2 linked regions of the Ovis aries genome follow. The protein of the gene in region 1 binds, or shares a complex with, the protein of each later gene. Links are inferred from orthologs where the notes say so. Each region holds a gene or a part of one and is shown on either strand. Other genes may lie near its edges.

Evidence for each region.
Region 2: AAR2 (region 1) and CD2BP2 share a complex: the UniProt entries of both Homo sapiens proteins name them as parts of the U5 snRNP complex. The link is inferred for Ovis aries from reciprocal best matches to the Homo sapiens genes AAR2 and CD2BP2.

Annotation. Positions count from the first base shown.
Region 1 is NC_056066.1:65,348,214-65,352,476, reverse strand, and holds the start of AAR2 (protein AAR2 homolog), read right to left. Parts: upstream 3,046-4,263; 5' UTR 2,824-3,045; intron 34-2,823; 5' UTR 1-33. UniProt on the Homo sapiens protein: Component of the U5 snRNP complex that is required for spliceosome assembly and for pre-mRNA splicing.
Region 2 is NC_056077.1:27,062,847-27,067,379, forward strand, and holds the start of CD2BP2 (CD2 antigen cytoplasmic tail-binding protein 2), read right to left. Parts: upstream 2,872-4,533; 5' UTR 2,289-2,871; coding exon of another isoform or gene 1,668-2,288; exon of another isoform or gene 1,644-1,667; intron 1,371-1,643; exon of another isoform or gene 1,286-1,370; intron 721-1,285; exon of another isoform or gene 652-720; intron 97-651; 5' UTR 72-96; coding exon 1-71. Other genes in the region: sesquipedalian-1-like, read left to right, coding at 1,668-2,288; TBC1D10B (TBC1 domain family member 10B), read right to left, coding at 3,292-3,927, 4,014-4,168, 4,459-4,533. UniProt on the Homo sapiens protein: Involved in pre-mRNA splicing as component of the U5 snRNP complex that is involved in spliceosome assembly.

The sequences.
Region 1 (4,263 bases):
GTGAGTGATCGAAAGGAAAACTTTTCTATTCCGCTGAAAAAGAAAGAAGTCAGAGTTAATCAGAACCTTGGGAAGGATTCTTCATTTGCTGAGCATTCTCTATGTGCCAGATACTGAGTTAGACCCCTGAAACAATTCAGTTCAGTCATTCAGTTGCGCCCGACTCTGCAACCCCTTAGACTGTAGCATGCTAGGCTTCCCTGTCCATCACCAACTCTGGAGCTTGCTCAAACTCATGTCCATTGAGTCAGTGATGCCATCCAACCATCTCATCCTCTGTCGTCCCCTTCTCCTCTGACTTCAATCTTTCCCAGCATCAGGATCTTTTCCAGTGACATAATTTTCTACCTTAATTTTCATCACAGGTAAAGAAAACGACACTCAAAGAGAAGACAGTTTTTGTTTCTGAGTTTAATGAGCAAGAACACTCACTGCACAGCTGGAAAGACATCAGTTAAAGAAAAGAGACATGTTCAAGACCACACAAGGACCCAGTTAGAACCCGGGTACCCTGCCCTCCAGGCCAGCGTTCTTCCCACTGTGCACTCCGAAGCTCCTTCAGATCTGTGCACTCTTCAGATCTCCTTCTCATAACAGAAGATGAAGGTGGAGAATGCCTGGTTGGTCCACTCTAAAGGATTAGTGTGCCTAAACTGTCTTAAACTATAATTCTGTCTAAAACTTAGAAGATTCGAGAAGCATCCACCCAGTTTCCCATAAGCCTCAGCGGAGGCCCAGAAATGGACAGAAAGTGGAAACGGGGTGCTTAGCATCTAAAATTCACAAGAGTATTGTAACGTAAAATAAAGTAAAATAAAATAAAATAAATAAAATTCACAAAAGGTTTGGGCAGTGGAGAGCTTTTCAACCACAACCCTCTTCTCCTGCATATATACAAATATACATATAAAATATATATATATATATAAAGAAGTCTAAAGTCCAGGGAGTGAAACAACTTTCCAAAGGGTCCACAGTCAGTAGCACCTCTGGACTGCTCACCCAAATGGATCCAGGTGGCATGGCTGGCCTCGGATCAGTATTTAGAAGACCAAGACCTTAGAACATTTATTTTTATCTACCTCTGAACTACCCAAGAGGACACACTGATAAGACTTCTGTAAACAGACATAGTCTCTGTATTTATAAGGATGGGTCCAACATGAACTAATTTTAACAGAACACGTCTAACTCTCTAGTCCCAAGACACCTACCTATTCAATTCAACAAATAACCTTGGAGAGCCTGCAGGATTTTTGCCAGACACGAACAGAAATAATCATGGAGAAGACAGTTACTGCCTTCCAGGCACTTCCAATCCAGCCAGACATATCAACAAGACCACAAAACTTCACAAACAGAAGAACCAGCTGCCTGTTTAATTCCTTTTACTCATTTTATTTAAACAAACAAAACAATACCATGAGGAAAGGAAGACCAACACTTTTCCCAATATGGAAAGGACATATTTTATTGTCTTTACCCAAAACCCACACAAATGATTATGACTCTAAATCAACATTTTTTTTCAAACTGCAAGTCACAATCTGATAATGGGTTAAAAGATCAACTTAGAGGATCTCAACCAACATTGTTTGTTGTTTTTTTTTAAATAAAAGGGCAAAATTTTAAAAAATCAGAGTACATCCTAAGAAGTAAAGCGAAGTACTGTTTTCTGAAGCTTTGTGTGTCTGTATGGACTCTTGGTCACCATGTAAAATGTATGCGTTACTGTAGGTCACAGTGCAAAAAGTCTGAAAGCCACTGCTCTAAATAATTTATATCATCTTACTATCCCCAATCTTGAGTTCAAAAGGCACTTAATATATTTATTAAATGAACAGCTATTGCATTTAGAATAACTGCTCATCAATTAGCCATTTTCCCAGTGGCATCTGTGTGCTCCTCTTTGATAATGCCACTTCTTTCTTTCTACTTCCAGCAGATTGTAATTCTCTTCACTATATCTTCCACAGCTGGCAAATGACCTGGCACAAAGAAGATGCCTTGAGATACAGAGAATCACATCTACCCACTTCTCTCCACCACATCCTTAATCTAAGCTACCATGTCCCTCAGCCAGATTGTCCCTGCAATCCCTTCTCCATCCAAAAGCAGGAGTGACCTTCTCAAACCGCCAGTCTAAGCATGTCACCACCCATACTTAACATCCTCTGAGAGACTTCTCACGTGGCTCTTGGCAAACCAAAATTCCCACTGCGACCTACAAGGGCTGTATGGCCTGGTCCATGGAAACTCCTCCAGCTTGTTTCATATCATGCTTCCTCCCCAAGCTCTGCTGCAGCCACACTGACTCTTTCAGACCCTCAAACAGAGGCTCCCCTGATAGAAAACTCTTCCCTCCTCTCTGTCTCAAACCATTTTTCTGATCTCTGCTTAATATTTACCTTCTCAGCAACGCTTCCTCGACCTGGGGCTAAGTCAGATCTCCTGTGATGTGCTCTCAAAGTGCTTTTTATCTTTCCATTTCACTGATCACAACTGCAAGTTCGCAAATATTAATAGAGGGCTGTCACCTCTAGGAGATGCGGGTCTTTCGTACCTCTAGCACATATTAGACGCTGGCTAAACATCTGTTTTTAATAAAAGCACGATATCCATGTTGTAGATGAGAAACAAAGGCTCGGTTCGTGGAAAAGACCTTACCGAAGATAGAGAACACCAGAACCACGTCAGGCGGAGCCAAGGCCTCCGAGCCCATAAGTTCTAAAGTTAGGAAAAAAGAAGTTTCCCAGGTGCCCCCACAAAGTTCTGGCGACGGCGTATCTGACGGTTACAAGGGGAGCAATAAGAGTAACCCACCTGAAAGAGGCAGGTCGGTCCCACCACCGGCTCAAGACCGGGACGCCACAGTCCCAGCTCGGTGCCCGAGTTCAGGCCCTCCGCGATCCCCAGCCGGAAAGAAGGGTGGCCGGACCACACAGACAACGAAAGCAGAACAGTTGAAAGAGGACAGGAGGCTGCACTCACCGACTGGTGTCTCGCCCAGGTCCAGGGATCGCAGAAGCGCACCGGAAGTTCTCCCTCTATAGCGCCGGAGGGGAACAACAGGGGAAAGGGGCCGGGCGGGTCCCTGGGTCGCGGAAGAAACGGCCCGTGCCAGCAGGTTCCGCCCCATGGAACATTGCCTTTGGCTACTTTGAGTTGCTGGATTTAGTTCTTGAACCCGTGGATAATAACTTTCATCAAACGATGCATTTTATATCCAGGTACAGAAACACATCCGCAAGTCACGGCTTTTCGGTTTCAATCAGTCGTGGTCTCTGAGGTTCTGGTCAAGGTCCTAGCTGTCCAGTAGCCACAGTCAGAGGCTCAGTCATAGTCCTGGTCAGCCGATCTCAATCAGAGTGAGTGTCACAGTTGGCCCTTTATCACCTGGTCTTGCTTCCAACCATACTCAGCTGTAGGGGAGAGCTTCAGAAACCCAGGCCAGAAAGACCCAGTCTAACAGCCGCAGTCACCACAGTGATCCTTCCTGCCATAAACACCCGATATCTTCTGGCAGTGCAGGCCTAGTATGAAATCTTAGGTAGGCTGTATATGCACCTTGAGGCAGGGAACCTGTCTTGTTCTCTGCTGTTTTTCTGGAATCCACACAAAGACCCAGTTCAATTATTAAATATTATGCATTTAATTAATGACAGTGATTCTTTATTAATTAGTGACTTCTATTTTGGAGCCTAGCTCTGTGCTGGGTGGTTGTATCACTCAGGGTTCAATCAAAGAAGCAGAGCCAGCGGGAGGTATTTAAGAGCTTTATTACAAGGAACTGGCTTATGTGATTCTGAGGGCTGCCTAAGGAAATTCAAAATCCAGAGGGCAGGCCCCTTGGGTATATGATATCTAATCCTTGCACTAACCCTAGTAAGCAGACTCGGTATTCCCAACATGCAGAAGAGAAAACTGAGGCTCCGAGCAGTTGCACAGCCAGAGAGAGGCCAGGCTAGAATGCAAACCAAGGTCTCATTGGTGACTGGCTCTTCTTGTCTCTGTGCTGCTGCTCTTTAGCTTGCCTGTCACAATTCCTCAGTGACAGCTGGACATGCCCATCTGTCTCAGTCAAAATTCATCTCTTAGTGGGTTGCAGACTAGACTGGGCCCTGCAGTCACGGTGGATCACAACGAGCTGCCCCAGGATTAGCCAGAGATGGCCTCTATCAGTCACAGTCACGCGTGTCAATCTCAGCCTGTCATGTCAGTTCCATTTCCTGCACGAAGAAGCTCAGCTCCCTCCCTCCCCTC
Region 2 (4,533 bases), on another chromosome or scaffold:
TTCTTGGGGACACTGATTTCATCCTCGTCATCATCTCCCACGCCTTGGAAGGTCACTTTCCTCTTTGGCATGACTGGACAGAAGGGCTTTTCCAAACTGAGCAGAGGGAAAGGGTGCAGATTAAGGGAACTGGGTGAGGAGGCAACTCCCCGCGAGGGGGCCCCCTGCACAACAGATCTTTTACTTGGCGGGTACTAGATCCACTTTGGGAAGGGAGTACAGAATCAGGAGCCGAAAGGCGAGCTGGTAGTCCAGAACCCGCCCCTCCCCCCGCCCCTCCCGGGACTTGGCTTAGCATCTAAAAGAGCCGCTGGTGCGGAGACGCAAGAGCGGACGGGCGGAGGAGCTCCTACGGGCACCCCCACCCTTGACAAGAGGAGACGGGCTCCCCCACGTGACCACCCTTATTCCAGGCCCCAGCAGTGCTGGGCGCGATGTGCTTCGCGGGTAAACACCCGCTCCACCACCCCCAGCTTCCTCGGAACCCGAGGGGCCCCGGCAGACCCAGGACCTAGCGCCCTGGCAGCCCCGCTCCTCCCTGCGCCGAACTCCCAACTCCGCGGGGTGACTCCCAACTGTCTTGGGCTGTGTACAAATTAGAAAGGCGGCAGGGCCACGGGGACACCAGCAGTCCCGCCGGCACGCGCTCACCTAAGGATCCAGGAAAGGTGGGGGAAGAAAGGGAGAGAGGGTTTCACCAGGGCTACATCCGGGCCACCCGCCCGCCACCACCCGGAAGAGAACTGCGGAAGGCGGCGGGGAAAGCCGGAAGTGGCTTCACTCGGGTTAGATGAACAACTGAAGGAGCGGGCGGAAGTACGCGCCGCGCGGGGAGAGACGCCCCCTCCCAGAAGTGACGCGAGCCGTGTGGGGTGACTATGGTGAGAAGAGGGGACATTTGAACGCCTAGACCCTGATCGGACGAGGATGGCCGGAAGTGATCTCGGTTTCCTCCTACAACACTAGAGGCTCTGAGGAGAAAGGGGCGCCCAGGTTCACGATGGAGGAACAAAGTCCCAGCAGGGCCGGTGGGTTCCTGCCCTAGTTTTCTCTTTCCCGGGTTGTCTCCTTTTCCCCACGGCTGGTTCTGCGCCCTTCATCATCTCATTAGAAATCCTGCCTTCCTACTCTTGGCGTCCAGTTGTCCGCCCTTTGCTAGTCCGAGGTGTAGCCTTGCTGTTGTCCCAGAGGTTCTCCTGGGACTTTCCGAACCCAGCTCCTTTTAGGACCCAGGGGAAGTCTAAAATCAGCCGCCTCCTATCCCCTGGCCAAGTTCCTGGTTTCTGAGGTGGGAAGAGTCAAATAGGAGAGGTGGCAGTGGCACCTGTTCCCAGTACCGAGGCCTGAAGTCCCTTGTGCCCTCATCTCAGGTAGGCCTGGGAAAGGGCCGTAGTGGATATCCGCCAACCCCACCCCCAAACAGGACCCCAGCACTACAGTCCTGCCCAGGTTTTGTAATTTGGCCCAAGGGGCAGAGCTGAGGTTGGGAGGTGGGTGGAAGGTCCTTCTTGAAAACTCAAGTTTGAATCCCTCTAGACCAAGACCAAGACAGTGCCCAGAAAGAGCCTGCTGGAACCAGAGGAGGGCAGTGCTGGGGTACTCCGGATCACCAAATGCCCCACTCCTCCTTTCTCCACTCCTAGGGTTTCTTCCCACAGTGGGCTACCATGAAACTGCACCGAAAGTCCGTGCTCCGTTTCTTCCGTGGGTACAGAACACAGGCTCCAGACCGGGAGGGCATCCTGCTAAAGAAGGGGGCCCGAAATACCAGTTATCAGCGCCGCTGGTTCATCCTGCGAGGAAACCTCCTCTTCTACCTGGAACACCAGGCTGACCACACACCCCTGGGTCTCATCCTATTAGAGAACTGCCAGGTGGAGCCACGCCTTGGAGCCACAGAACCTTATGCCTTTACCATTCGGACTCCAGGGGGAGATGGTGGGCGGGCCTACAGGCTGGCAGCAGAAAACCGGGAGGAGCTGAGAGCCTGGCTGTGGGCGTTGGCCGGAGCCACCTGGACGCGGCTGGCTGAGCTGCTACGCCCCCTGGAGGCCCAGTACCGGGAGCTGTGCCAGGCAGCTGGCCAAGAGCCCGGCTCACCCCCAGAGGACTGTGGCTCCCCAGCCACCCCCAGGACCCTCTTCAGCTTCCAGGAGTTGCACGAGCACTTTGGAAAGGAGATCCGGATGCTGCAGGCTGTCCACAGACAGTTCCAGGAGGCCAGTGACAACGGAGGCAGCAGATCCCCAGCAGGTGGAGGTGAAGCAGGAACGCAACAACTGTGTTGATGAGTGACTAATAGACTAAAGACCCAAAGGTATCTGCCAAGTCCAGTCAACAGCTTCCAGAGACACCCAGATCCTTGCTAACTCATCACTCCCTCCCTCCTTGTCCTTACTTTAACCCCACTCATCAAATAACAAGGCAAAAGACAGGCCCAGGTACAACAGCAGGTTCTTTTCCGGTTCCTCAAAGCGGCCGAACAGGGTGGGGGCAGAGACAGAAGAACATGTAAACATTGGGTTCCACCCCCTGGGGCTCAGGGGAAGACCCTTACCCAGGAAGGGGCTGGAGGGTTGGAAGGGACAAAGTGAAAGGCAGGGGCCCTGGTCAGATAAAGCAGGGGAGGCCTGAGAATACAGAGAAAGGTGGGTGAAGAGGAAGGAGAGCAAGGAGGGTGGTGGTGGGAGGTGGGAGACATTTCCTGTTCCAGTGCGTGTCCCCTTAAATAAACTAGAGTGCAAGAACACTGAGGAGGGAGAACCAGAGAACAGAAGATGGAGTGAACACCCCCACCCGGGGCCCACCAGGTCCTCTGTACATAATTACAACACAGAGATGTCCAGAAGGAGAGCAAGAAGAGCCTGGGCCCCCAACCAGGAACTGGGGGAAGACAGGCAGGACTGAAGGGGGTAAAGGAACCCAGCTTCACTTCACGGGTAAGGGGAGTGACTGGAGTGTAAGAATCTGAAAACTGCTGACTCCCACTGCCACAGGTCACCCCTGCGGTGACCAAAGGCCAATCAGGAGAGTGGCACCTGGGAAGGGACCCCAGTTGGGCCGAGCTGGAGGTGAGGTGTCCACTGCTTCCCCAGGGAAATGCAGCTGCCCCCCGTTCTGACTGTCCTGGCCACGTGGGGATCAGCGGCTGGCACGGAGACGGGGAACAAGCCACTTTCCTCAAAAAGAGGGACAGCCTGCCAAGGGCGGGCTGGGAGCAGGACCCCAGGCTAGGTCTGCTCTTGGCTGAGGGAAAAGAGGGGGCCACGTAGTCCAGCCCCAGGGCAGAGGTCAGAAGTACGCATCCTGCCGGGCCTCTGATGCTGAGGACCTGTCCCCGCCGTCCTGGGGGGCAGGCGGTCCATCTGCCTTTCGATGGAGTGAGAGCTTCCTGCCCTGGGCCTTCTTCTCCTGCTTCTGCCGCTCCTTCTCCTGTTTCTGCTGCTCCTTCTCCTGCTTCTGCCGCTCCTTCTCCTGCTTCTCCCGTTCTTTTTCCTGTTTCTGCCGCTCCTTCTCGCGTTCCTTTTCCTGTTTCTGCCGCTCCTTCTCCTGCCTCCGGGCCTCCTTGCCGCTAGGGGCCAGAGGGGCGCTGTTGCCAGTAGGCGAAGGAAGGGATGGACGCAGTCCCTCGGCGGTGACCACGGGCCCTGGGGCAGGCCCCGCGCTGGCCCTGCGGACGGGAGGGGGTGGGGAGGGGACCCCTCCACCTGCCCGGGAGCCCCGGCTCTTGAGGCCAGGGAGGCTGAGGAGGCTGGAGGAGGGGCCCAGGGGGGGCAGCTGCCGCCGGCGCTCCTCGTGGATGGCCCGGGAACCGTGTAGTCTCCGTGAGGGCCGATACTGCAGCTCGCCCCGGGTTTCCAGCCACTTCTTGAGCTGGGCTGCGTTCTCTCGCTCAATCAGTGCTTCTGTCACTTGGAGGTTGGTCACCTAGATGGAGAAGACATGGGTACCAGGGTGAAGTGGGGTGGGGATCTACTGAAGCGGGTGTGAGGTACGCTAAGGCCAGGACCTACCTCGTGCACCAGGAAGTCCTCCTGCATGCACTGCTGAGGCAAGTTCCGCAGCTGCTCCATGGTCTCATACATGCCTTGGCAGGAGCGCAGCTTTTCCACCGAGCCCAGCGTGTGCCGCAGCAGCACCAGGGCCACCCGGAAGATGATCTTGACGCCTGCAGGCCCGAAGAGAAGAGGCCATGGGTGATCAGCCTGGGGGGTCTCAGCCTGGCCCGTGCAGGGGGTACTCACAGCCCCCATCCCTGTGTATTGTTGACCCGACAGATGAGGAAATGGAGGCCTTGAGAAGAAAATGAGCCACCATGGGTTTTAGGTTCCTGGGAGGCAAAGCAAGCTGTGGCTGGTGGCAGAGCCAGTAAGATCAAGTCTCAGTTTCTCCCGAGATGGATCTCAGCCACCATGGAAACCCCAGTCCCACTACTGGCCTACGTGGCTACAGAAGTACCTTCACAGAAGAACATATCCCAGACCCGGAGCACTGAAGCCCAGGGCAGGGTGCGGGCGAAGATGCACATGAACC